Tribolium castaneum: one gene and its partners. Each later gene encodes a partner of the first gene's protein in a complex. Links are inferred from orthologs where the notes say so. Each region holds a gene or a part of one and is shown in the gene's direction. Other genes may lie near its edges.

Evidence for each region.
Region 2: lds (region 1) and NiPp1 share a complex: the UniProt entries of both Homo sapiens proteins name them as parts of the spliceosome. The link is inferred for Tribolium castaneum from reciprocal best matches to the Homo sapiens genes TTF2 and PPP1R8.
Region 3: lds (region 1) and splicing factor C9orf78 share a complex: the UniProt entries of both Homo sapiens proteins name them as parts of the spliceosome. The link is inferred for Tribolium castaneum from reciprocal best matches to the Homo sapiens genes TTF2 and C9orf78.

What each region holds. Positions count from the first base shown.
Region 1 is NC_087394.1:25,403,947-25,408,162, forward strand, and holds the start of lds (transcription termination factor 2), read left to right. Parts: upstream 1-1,416; 5' UTR 1,417-1,692; coding exon 1,693-1,747; intron 1,748-1,797; coding exon 1,798-2,225; intron 2,226-2,273; coding exon 2,274-2,947; intron 2,948-4,216. Other genes in the region: probable ATP-dependent RNA helicase Dbp73D, read left to right, coding at 1-1,187. UniProt on the Homo sapiens protein: DsDNA-dependent ATPase which acts as a transcription termination factor by coupling ATP hydrolysis with removal of RNA polymerase II from the DNA template. May contribute to mitotic transcription repression. May also be involved in pre-mRNA splicing.
Region 2 is NC_087396.1:21,737,749-21,741,348, forward strand, and holds NiPp1 (nuclear inhibitor of protein phosphatase 1), read left to right. Parts: upstream 1-1,412; 5' UTR 1,413-1,639; coding exon 1,640-1,668; intron 1,669-1,791; coding exon 1,792-2,006; intron 2,007-2,074; coding exon 2,075-2,292; intron 2,293-2,349; coding exon 2,350-2,901; 3' UTR 2,902-2,969; downstream 2,970-3,600. Other genes in the region: EGF-like domain-containing protein 2, read left to right, coding at 1-1,035; Aprt (adenine phosphoribosyltransferase), read right to left, coding at 3,118-3,571. UniProt on the Homo sapiens protein: Inhibitor subunit of the major nuclear protein phosphatase-1 (PP-1). It has RNA-binding activity but does not cleave RNA and may target PP-1 to RNA-associated substrates. May also be involved in pre-mRNA splicing.
Region 3 is NC_087394.1:36,668,237-36,671,364, forward strand, and holds splicing factor C9orf78, read left to right. Parts: upstream 1-1,452; coding exon 1,453-1,592; intron 1,593-1,640; coding exon 1,641-2,254; intron 2,255-2,303; coding exon 2,304-2,449; 3' UTR 2,450-2,493; downstream 2,494-3,128. Other genes in the region: casein kinase II subunit alpha, read right to left, coding at 93-1,143, 1,187-1,242. UniProt on the Homo sapiens protein: Plays a role in pre-mRNA splicing by promoting usage of the upstream 3'-splice site at alternative NAGNAG splice sites; these are sites featuring alternative acceptor motifs separated by only a few nucleotides. May also modulate exon inclusion events.

The sequences.
Region 1 (4,216 bases):
GGAAAATCAGGGCTTTGGTGATTTTGCCGACGCAAGATTTGGCCGAACAAGTGTTTAAAAGCTTCAAGTTGTACACGCAAGGGACGCGAATCGAAGTGGGCCTGGTCTCAGGCAAACAAATGTTTCAAGCTGAGCAAAAACAATTGGTTTATTTCAACGAGTGCTTTGGTTTTGTGAGCAAAATTGACATTCTTGTATGCACGGCTGGTCGGTTAGTGAACCATTTAAAATCGACCAATGGTTTTAATTTACAAGCGCTCGAATTTTTGATAATTGACGAAGCTGATCGTGTTTTGGAAAGTGTTCAAGACGATTGGTTGTATCATTTGGAGAAACACATTTACACGATTCAAAACAGGAAAGTTTTAAATGTGTGTACTTTACAGAGACAAAGGGCGCCTCAGAAACTCCTCTTTTCGGCGACTTTGACCCAAGACCCCGAAAAAATCGAAAAATTATCACTTTTCCAACCGAAGCTTTTCACTTCATCGGTCGTGGAAAACTACAACGAAAGTGAGGAAAAACCCATGATTTTGACCGGAAAATACACAACACCGAAAGAATTAACGGAGAAATACATCGTCTGTTCTAAAGACGTCAAACCACTCGTTTTGTACGCGTTCCTCAAACGTGAAAATTTGACTAAAACTTTGGTTTTTACTCATTCAGTCGAAAGTGCCCACAGGCTTAAAATCCTCCTTAAATCACTCTTTAAAAAACGGTTAAAAATCGAGGAAATTTCCTCAAATTTGAAGGGGAAAAGCCGAGATGAATTTATTTCAAGTTTTACAAAAGGTGAAGTTGATTTATTGATTTGTACAGATTTTTTGGCTCGAGGGATTGACTTGCCGGGGGTTAATTGCGTGATTTCTTATTCAGCCCCCAAATATTTGAAAACGTACATACACAGAGCCGGGAGGACAGCTAGGGCGGGTGAATCGGGGTTGGCTGTGACGCTACTACATGAGGAACAAGTGCCGGCGTTTAAAACCTTGTTGAAGAAAGAAATTGAGGAGGTTGAGGTTGGGGTTGAAGAATTGGAGGGGTTGAGTGAAAAATATAAGAAGGCGTTAGGGAAGCTCAAGGAGGCGGTTAACGAGGAGCAAAAAGTGGGGATGGAGAGTGTTTTGTCCAAGAAAAAGGCTTTGAAGAAGCTCAAGAAAAAGGTTATTAATTCGGTTAAATAGCAATTGTTTTGGAGTAATAAAATATTTTTTGTTTCTGGGTGTTTGATTTATAAACTAAGTTGCCAATATTACCTTTTGACTTGCTGGGCCAATTCAAGGGGCTTCGTTAACATTTTTCTTGTAAATTTCACTAATTTGTTTTTGAAAAAAGTGGGGTTATGTGGTTTAGTGACTAAGGGGTGCCAACAAAGTTGTGGCATTGTCATTTCAACAAACCCAAATTTTTGAGTAAAATTTGCTCAACTAGTACGAACTATTCGGGAAAAGTGATTATTCATACACTGCTATAACAAAACAGTTAGGAAATTCATCAAACAATTATTTGAAACCACAGATGGTTTTGTGTGTGGTTGGTAACACTTTTGTGATTTTGACTCCAGCAAAATTATCTAACGGAAAAAGTTTTGAAAGTTTTTTGTGTGTGATAACGATAACGTCATTCTTTTAATCGTTAATTGTGCTATAAATTGAATGAATTAAGACTGCGCTTCATAACGACTGAATCATGAGTGAAAACAGTGATATTTTCTCCTCGGACGAAGAGCAGGACTCATTTGATGGTACTTTTTTAGTTTCTCGTTTTTATTGTATTTAACTTATGATTCATCAGGACGTATTGAAGCTTCAGATCACGCAGATGAGGCCAAAGAGCCGGTAAAAGAAATTGAGTCAAATCTTTCAAGACTTAGCTACAGAGACAACAGTCAAATCAGTGATGATGAAAGTGATTCAGGAAGTGACCAAAAAGCTTCTTTTTACACAGATGAGGAAGATAAGTCCATCTCGAGTGATAAAATCGATGGAAGTACCCCTGAAATTATCAATGATTCTCTCAGTATTGTCGAAGTGAGCAGTGACGATGAAACTGTCCCTACAACTAGTCAAAAACAAACAAAAATCACTTCTTTTTACACAAAACCGCTACTTGACGTCAAACTTGAGCCCCCAACACCCCAAAAAACCATCGTAGGCCGGGCACAGTACGAGGAACAAGTGAAAAAAATCAGCTCAATTGAAGCTGATTTATTGAGGGCTAAAGTGAGTGAACGTCGCTTTATTTTCACTTGTTTACGTAATCAATTGTAGAATGCCATGAGGGTGATCAAACTGGAAAATTTGCCTGATCGGGGGAAATCCCTAATCGACAAAGAACAATCATTGATCAAACTATTGCAAGAGCAAAAGGATTTGTTGGATACCATGGAAGTAAATAATGAGGAGCCCCCTTTAACAGCCCAGAATCGAATCGAAGTTGCTTGGGACGAGATCGAGGCAGGCGTGGGGGCCGTGGGGCCCCGAACATTTGGTAAAATCGGTGTTGCTCGATTTAAGGCCGAGAAATCAATGGCAATGGAGACTCTCGATTCGCTTCACAAATCTTTGGAGACTTGTCCGACTGAAAAAGACACCGTGGAGGACCCACGTGGGCTTAAAGTGCCTCTAATGCCCCACCAAAAGCAAGCACTAGCCTGGCTTTTGTGGCGCGAAAAACAAAAACCCTCAGGGGGGCTCTTGGCTGATGATATGGGACTTGGGAAAACGCTTACAATGATTTCACTAATATTGAAGTCAAGGGAATTGAACACTGATGAAGAGCAAGATAAGGAAAACCATCGTGATAAACGGCCAGGGGGCACTTTGGTCGTTTGTCCAGCCAGTCTTATGAATCAATGGTCTGAGGAGATTAATAGGAGGACCAAAAGGGGGCTGCTGTCTGTTGAGGTGTACCATGGGGCGAAACGCGAGTCTAAGCCCAAACGGTAAGTTGTTATAAATACGTATTCTTCCAAAAAATACTTCTTAACGTTTTGGAAAAACGTTACTAAACACTAACTAGCATCAAATCTATTCTGAAATCTATAATTCCGGGACTATTGATGATAATGGTTAGTACAGGTGCATCCATATAATTATATGAAGATTATCTTACTATGATACAGAGTTTGGTGCGAAAATCGTTGATGAATGGAAAAATAGAAATTTTTTTTAATTCGTCTTTTAAATTATTCAAAGTTTTGCGTTTGTTTCCACGCCAATTGACCTACCAGAACATCTGTCTACACATTTTCAAAACATTTTAATATGGGTATCTAGTTATCTGAGAACTCGTCTTATAGTTTTATCTATTTTTTTAGTTTTTTTTATTGAACAGTTTTGTTATTTTCTTTTCAGTTTTGCAGTTTGTAATTCTTAGAGTATTTTAATTTTCATTTAATATTACTTTTCAATCACTATTTAATTTGTTTCTCAAAATCCCTTGGAAAAGAAACAAGGAGTTTGAATTTTAAGATTCTATCCAGTGTCCCTGAAGTGTCAGTGATTTTTTAATATGTTACAATTTTTTTTGTTTAAATAAAAGATAGGACTTGTGTATTTTTATATTTGCCTACTTTACGGAATTTTTTTAATCTTTTACCATAGAATTTTCTTTTTTTTAAGTTTAATCTTTTTTTAATTTAATTTAATTTAATTTAATTTAATTTTTGTTTTTTCTAACTGTAATTATGTAATTAGTCCATTTATTTTTTATTTTTTAAATATTTTGCTTTAAATAGTTATTTTTATGGAAATTAGCGCAGAACAAATGTTTTTTAACTTGAGAATGTCAGACTACAACTACATAATTAAAAAAAAATAAAAAATAAAAAAATTGGCTTTGCGTGCATAATACAAACAACTGTATTTTTTACAATTACACTGCTTTAAATTACAAATTTTTATTCTGTGAAATTCTTGAATATTTCATAGAAAATAGGGCCTCATTACTTTTTATATGTTACTTTGCATTATCAATATAATAAAACTTTGTCTTAAACTCATTTGTTATTTTATCTTTTTTTCTTTTTCATTTAAAATTTTTTTTGTCTATCAAAATTCTCTGTGGAAGGGAAATAAATAATCTGAGTATTATTAAGATTTTCTGTTAAAATAAAAAATGCACACTTTCGTTGTTTTATATTTTCATCCTCTTGATTCTTCTCGGATTTTTTCCAATTTTCGTTTTTCTTAAAAGTTTAAACTGTCATTTT
Region 2 (3,600 bases), on another chromosome or scaffold:
ATTCACGCAATTGATGTCGAGTGCGCCAAAGACATGATGACCATCACGATTGAATTTAACCGCGAGTTCAATGGAGTGATTTACTCCAAAGGCTACTACAACATGCCTGAATGTCGCTACGTGAACGAAAATTCCGAAATGACGAAATACCGCTTCACCGTCAGTTTGAACTCTTGTGGGACTGAATTTATCAACGCGTTTGATACTCAAGGACAGTCGTACCTGGAGAACGTCCTCGTGATCCAAAACGAGCAAGGGATCCAGGAGGTTTGGGACACAATCAGAGCTGTGAGGTGCCTCTGGGAGGGCAACCTGAAGGACTCCCTCAGCGTGGCGCTCAGCGTGGGGATGCTAAGCCAGGAGATTGTGACTTTCAGTGGGGACACCGCCATGGCCAAGCTGGACATCCAACTGGGCAAAGGCCCATTCGCGCCCCCGGCCAACGGTTTGGTCAAAATCGGGGAGCAAATGACCCTTGTTATCTCCGTGACCGGAGACCCCGGTTTTGACATCCAAGTCAAAGACTGCAGGGCTACGGACTCGACCGGCGACCGCGTGTACCCCCTAACCGACGAAAACGGCTGTATTCTCAAACCCAAACTATTTGGCGCGTTCCAAAAAACACGAAACACGGGAAATACCGGCGCTTCCATCATTGCCTACGCGTTTTTCAACGCTTTTAAATTCCCAGATGTGATGGATTTGATGATTCAGTGCAACATTGAGCTTTGCAAAACCGACTGTCAGGTGTGTCCAGAGCCCAACCAGCAAATCGAGCCTGGGAGGAGGCGCAAACGTGACCTTTCGTACTATAATAACACTGACGGGGTCACAATGGGGAAGCACCTGAGGGTCGTTTTGGCGGAGGATTTGAACGATATTGGCAATACTGAGGCCGCGTTTGAGGGGGAAGTTTGTATGACGACGCAGAATTTTCTACTAGTTTCGGCGATTTTGATCTCGCTACTCACTGCCAGTAGTGTACTAAGTGCTTGTCTCTGGTTGAAGAACCAACGGATTGCTCACAAAGGGTGACAACTTTACCACAATCCTGCCAATGTAGTTCCGTCCATTAAGTTATTGTGACTCCAGTATTTTATTTAAGTTTTTTAATTATCGTAGGCCCATATTTATGTAAATACTTGACTAATAAAGTAAGAATTTTGTAGCGTGGGGTTTTCTTTTATCAAGGTTGACGACAACGACAGACTAAATTTGTTTAATAAAAAAGCATAATTTTTTTGTATGGGACTTTATTGATTGAAATTTACATAATTTGAGGCGTAAAACTAGTAAATCATTACGATTCATTGTAAGCGATTAGTTCATAATACATATAAACGAAAAAAAAAAATGGTCTGGGTCAGGGTTTGAACCCATAACTTTTGAGTTGGTGTTGATCAGTTGATGATTCCTCGGTCATAAGCACTTTCGTACTACATAATAGCAGGTTTTCTCAAATCAATGCGGTGCCAAATCGGTACAAAAAGTTTAAAACAGTGATTTTATAACAAACAAACGATGGGCTTATTATTTGGGTGCGTTTTAATGTCGTTAGATTGACAAATAACGAGGTTGTTTTATTCGGCCTTGTGCAACTTCGGACGTAGCGTTATGTCACCTGCCAAAAAAGCGACAAATGGCAAACCATTATGAGGTGCCAAATTGGTAAATAATCCTTGAAAAATTGTGTTATTGGCCCCTGAACCCCTCACTTATCATTTCGCCCCCTTTTCTGTCACACAATCCACAAATCGTGTGTTTTTGTGTGTTGAGGTTATGCTGTTTCAGGGCAGGCAAGCCCCCCGTGGGTTTGCATTTGGACGTGCTAAAGGGCGACAAACTAATACAAAAATTGATGATCGACGACAAAAAGTGTTACTTATTTGGACGCAACGCCCAAATGAACGATTTCTGCATCGATCACGCGTCATGTTCGCGGGTTCATGCAGCCCTCGTTTGGCACAAACACTTAGATCGGGCGTTTCTGGTGGATTTGGGGAGCAGTAAGTGTCACGTGTGCGCAACTTAGGGCTTTTTTGTGTCAAGACTTGGATAATTTGCGTTGTTTTAGCCCATGGCACCTTCATAGGATCATTAAGACTTGAGGCGTATAAACCCACTCAGTTGCCTATTGATTCTAGTTTTCACTTTGGGGCGTCCACGCGAAATTACACGATCAGGGAGCGGCCCCAGACGGGCATGCGGCCGATCATTGACGAGATCGAAAAGGCGGGCGAGGAGACCGAGGGCGGATTGCTGGGGCTCCCCGAGACCGAAACGGAACTCGATGTAAACCACCCCAACCAGCGAAGCTGAGAGCTTTACAAAAAATATTTTTTTCCATAGAATTTGACGGAATTTAACACCGCCCACAACCGGCGGATATCAATGCTGGGAATCACCGACGACACGGAAAAACGCAACACCAACCGGAAGCGCAAACGCCAAGTCGTTTCCTTCAACGAGGACGAAGAGATCATAAACCCTGAAGATGTGGACCCGAGTATCGGTAAATTCCGAAACTTGGTCCAAACCACCGTTGTACCTTCAACCATCAAGAGGGCCAAATTCGCGGCTGAGAATATCGGAATCCCCACTGAATACAAAAATCCCAAAATCCTTCATCCCTCCGCCCCCGATTTGTACACAGACCTGCCCCCCGAATCCCACTCTCCAACCAGTTCAGGGAATTTAAGCATTTACAGTTCGTTAAGTTCACGCCTTGGAATGGTTTTACCCAATCCGGCGCCAGATGTCGACATGGGACAGAACTTCGCCCCGCCCACTCCCTTTGTCCCGCCCCAAGTACAAATTGCGGACGCCATGGAGCCCAAGAAAAAGAAGTATGCCAAGGAGGCGTGGCCTGGCAAGAAGCCCACGCAAACGCTATTGGTCTAGGATTAGGTGTAAGCTTTTGATGTAATTTTCTCAAGGTCATAGATTAAATATTCAATAAAAAACGAAAAGTAGTTTCTTTTATCGAAAAACATGGCGAAATAATTTCTGAATTCTGGGAAACAGTTTCAAACTAACACCAACTTGACAAAAATAGGTTTTTTATTTCACTACTTGATGGAATGCAAGGCACTCTCGATTGAAATATCAATCAAAAAATTAATATTTAATAATGGACAATACCTCTGCTGGCACCTTCTCCCGGCCTTTGAGCCCCTCGAGCTCCATTAGAACGAGACACCCTGCGACTTCGCCACCTGCCCCTCGCACGAGCTGGCAGGCAGCCCCTAGACTGCCCCCCGTGGCTAACAAATCGTCCACAAGCAGGACGCGTTGCCCCTTACTTATGCTATTTTCCTGAATTTCAACAGTGTCATGACCGTACTCGAGAGCATACTGCGCCGACAAAATTTTCCCCGGTAGTTTACCCTTTTTCCGAATTGGAACGAAAGGTATGTTCAAATCAATCGCCATCAACGGCCCCAAGAGAAACCCCCGAGCATCCAATCCCACGATACATTCAGCCGGGGGCTCAATTTTGCGTGCAAAAGACACCAAAACGTCACGTAAAATTGCAATGAGTTCAGGCTTTTGGAACACTGAAAACAAGTCCCTAAAAAGGGGTAATAGGCGAACTTGGGG
Region 3 (3,128 bases), about 11 Mb from region 1:
TCGAGTCCCACCAGGGGTACTCCTTTTTTTTCTTACATTATTGAAAAAAATAAACCAAAAACACAAAAATATTTTATTCTATACATTTACAATCAATGAACCGCTTGCCCCGACCCTGAAACCTTGAGCTTATCCAACCCTGGCAAAGCCCCCGAGCTTCTCACCGGCCCGAAATACTTATGCCCCAAGGCCTCCTGAGCCGTACATCTTTCCATGTGATCATAACAAAGCAACGATTCCAAAAAATCAAAGGCATTCTGATTCACTAAATGCTCATTCTCCGTATTGACAAATCTCTGCCAGGGTTTTTTCGAGTGAATCCCCAACATCTCCTGCATGCTACCTTCCAGCACAATGTTGTATTTATTCAAATAAGAGTAAAACTTGCTCGTGCCCAACACTTTAACAATGCAATACAGTTGGTTGCGGTTATCAAATCCTTGGAAGAAAGGTTCTTTACGGAAGATCATTGCGGCAAAAACGCACCCAAGCGACCACAAGTCGAGGGAATAGTCGTAATAACCGTACTCTACCAACAATTCCGGGCCTTTGTAATGCCGAGACGCCACCCGGACGTTGTAACGTTCTCCGGGACGGTAAAACTCAGCCAAACCGAAATCAATCAACCGGATTTTGCGATTTTTCCGGTCAATTATGATATTGTGCGGCTTGACGTCACGATGCATTATGCCCTTGCTGTGACAGAAATCAAGGGCTTTCAAAATTTCGTAAATGTAAAACCGGATATCGGAATCACTCAATTTCAAATAAACCTCCTTAAAGTCCTCATTATTTGACGGGGATTCGAAAATCAGGGCGTGCAAAGCTGTGGAAGGCACCGACACCACGGCATATAAACTCACAATGTTGGGGCCGTTCCTCAAGTGCTCCAAAATTTTAATTTCACGTTTGATTTTCGGTTTTTTGATCGGTTTTAGCAACTTGACCACGACCGAATCGTTAGTACCATCGTGCACCCCCTCGAACACTAGACTGTACTTCCCTTGACCGATTTTCCGAATCAAACTGTAATTGTTGATATCGTCAGTCGGGGGGTTGTAGTTGTCGTACTCAAAGTAGGAAGAGGGCTTGTTTGAGAACACGTCCGAGTATACCCGTGATGTTGTAACAACAACGCTACGACTAATTTGTGTTATTTTGGTAATTTTAGGCCTAAAACACTTACGGTGTGTCGTCCAAATCCATTTTTGGCACAAATTTTTTGAAATCTTTTTTTGACATTTGAAATTTAAACGGGGTGCTTACTTGTCACTAAACGACAAAACGAAAATCCCTAACCCGATTAAGCGAAAAACACAATTGTGGCTTTAATTTAATGGTGCCACACGAATTATGAATTATTTTGTGTTTTGTGAGCCAGTCTCGAGTGTCTTGTGGTGGTTTTGGTCGTTTTTGGTGTAGTTATTGGGGCGTCATAACCTCAAATTCGTCATGTCAACAAGTGGGATTAAAACCGAATCTAACGATTCAAATGACTCGAAACCCGTTTTTAAACGTAAAAACCGTAAACAGCTGCGCCAAAGGCGCCCCTCGGATGGTAGTGACCGAGAGGAGGACCTGGAGGAGGTCAGGTAACAAGACCCCCTTCACTGTGGTGCCTCCCCTAACGTTGCTTTTAGCACCAAACTAGAAGAAATGAAGGAGTTACAAAACTTGCGTAAGCGCCCCCATGGAGTCAACGCCTTGGGGCTAGCCCTAGGTACCAAAATCACCATCGAGGACGAGTGCATTTCAAAGGACCCTTTCAAGGTGAAGTCCGGCGGCATGGTCAACATGCAAGCCCTTAAAAGCGGCAAAGTCAAGCAAGTCGATGATGCGTACGACACTGGCATAGGGACCCAGTTTTCGGTCGAGACGAATAAACGTGACGAAGACGAGGAAATGATGAAGTTTATTGAAGAAGAGTTGTCGAAGAAGAAGCGCAAGGTCGAGCCCCAGGAGCAGGCCGAGGCTGAGAACAAGTCGGCGTACACCAGCCCCGAGGAGGCGGCTTTGAGGGCAGTCCCGGACCATTTGAGGGAGTCGTCGACGAAGAGGTCGGAGGAGATGTTGTCCAATCAGATGTTGAATGGGATTCCGGAAGTGGACCTGGGGATTGAGGCCAAGATTAAGAATATTGAAGCTACGGAAGAGGCGAAGTTGAGGCTGCTGTGGGAGAAGCAGAATAAGAAGGACGGGCCTTCGCCTTTTGTGCCGACGAATATGGCGGTGAATTTTGTGCAGCACAATCGATGTGAGTTGGCAGAACTGCTCATATTTGGAGTTTTTTACTTTTTTTACAGTTAATATAGACGCAGAGGTTGCTAAAAAGAAGGCCAAGTTGGATGATAAAGTGGAGGAGGCTACGGAAAAGCCGAAGAAAAAGGATGAGAGGGCCACCGATGATTATCACTACGAAAAGTTCAAAAAACAATTTAGGAGATATTAGCCTTTTGTAGTGTTTTTTATTTTTGAATAAATTATTTATTTTGATTTGTTTTTATTTCTTTTAAAAATCCGAGCAAATAATCACTGTGTTGTTTTGAAATTCATAACTCAAAAACTAAAAGTCGTAGAGCAATGCGGTTTGTTCCATTGGATTCAGCGGCTTTTTTTCTCTATTATACTAATTTTTCACGCAATTTAAAATTTTCAATTTTTTTTGCTCAAATTTCCTGAGTACCTTCAAGAGGTGAAACAAAAATTTTTTTTTAACTAACTCTAGGAACTTTTTATGGACTCCTACATGTCTTAACAACCCACAAAAGTTGTTAAAAGTCCACAAAAAGTCCAAATGTTCGATTTTTTGATGTTTGATTTTTTCAATTTTCGTCGCAGTTTTTGTCGATTTTGGGTACCCGGAACATTTGTCGAGCAATAGCTCCGGAACTATTAGAGATAACCCCATGAAGTGTATTATCGTTGGAAAGCTCTTTAAATTATCTATTTTTTTCAAAAAAGATTATTGTTCTCCGACTAATAGTTTTCGAGCAAATTGCTGCTAAATGCAAAAATTGGTAATATTTTAAAAAATTCATAACTAAAAAACTATTGGGAATTTGGCAATTTTCTCGATGCCAATCGATTCCCCGGATCATTTTGCAGGGATATGGACCAAAACAGTTCCA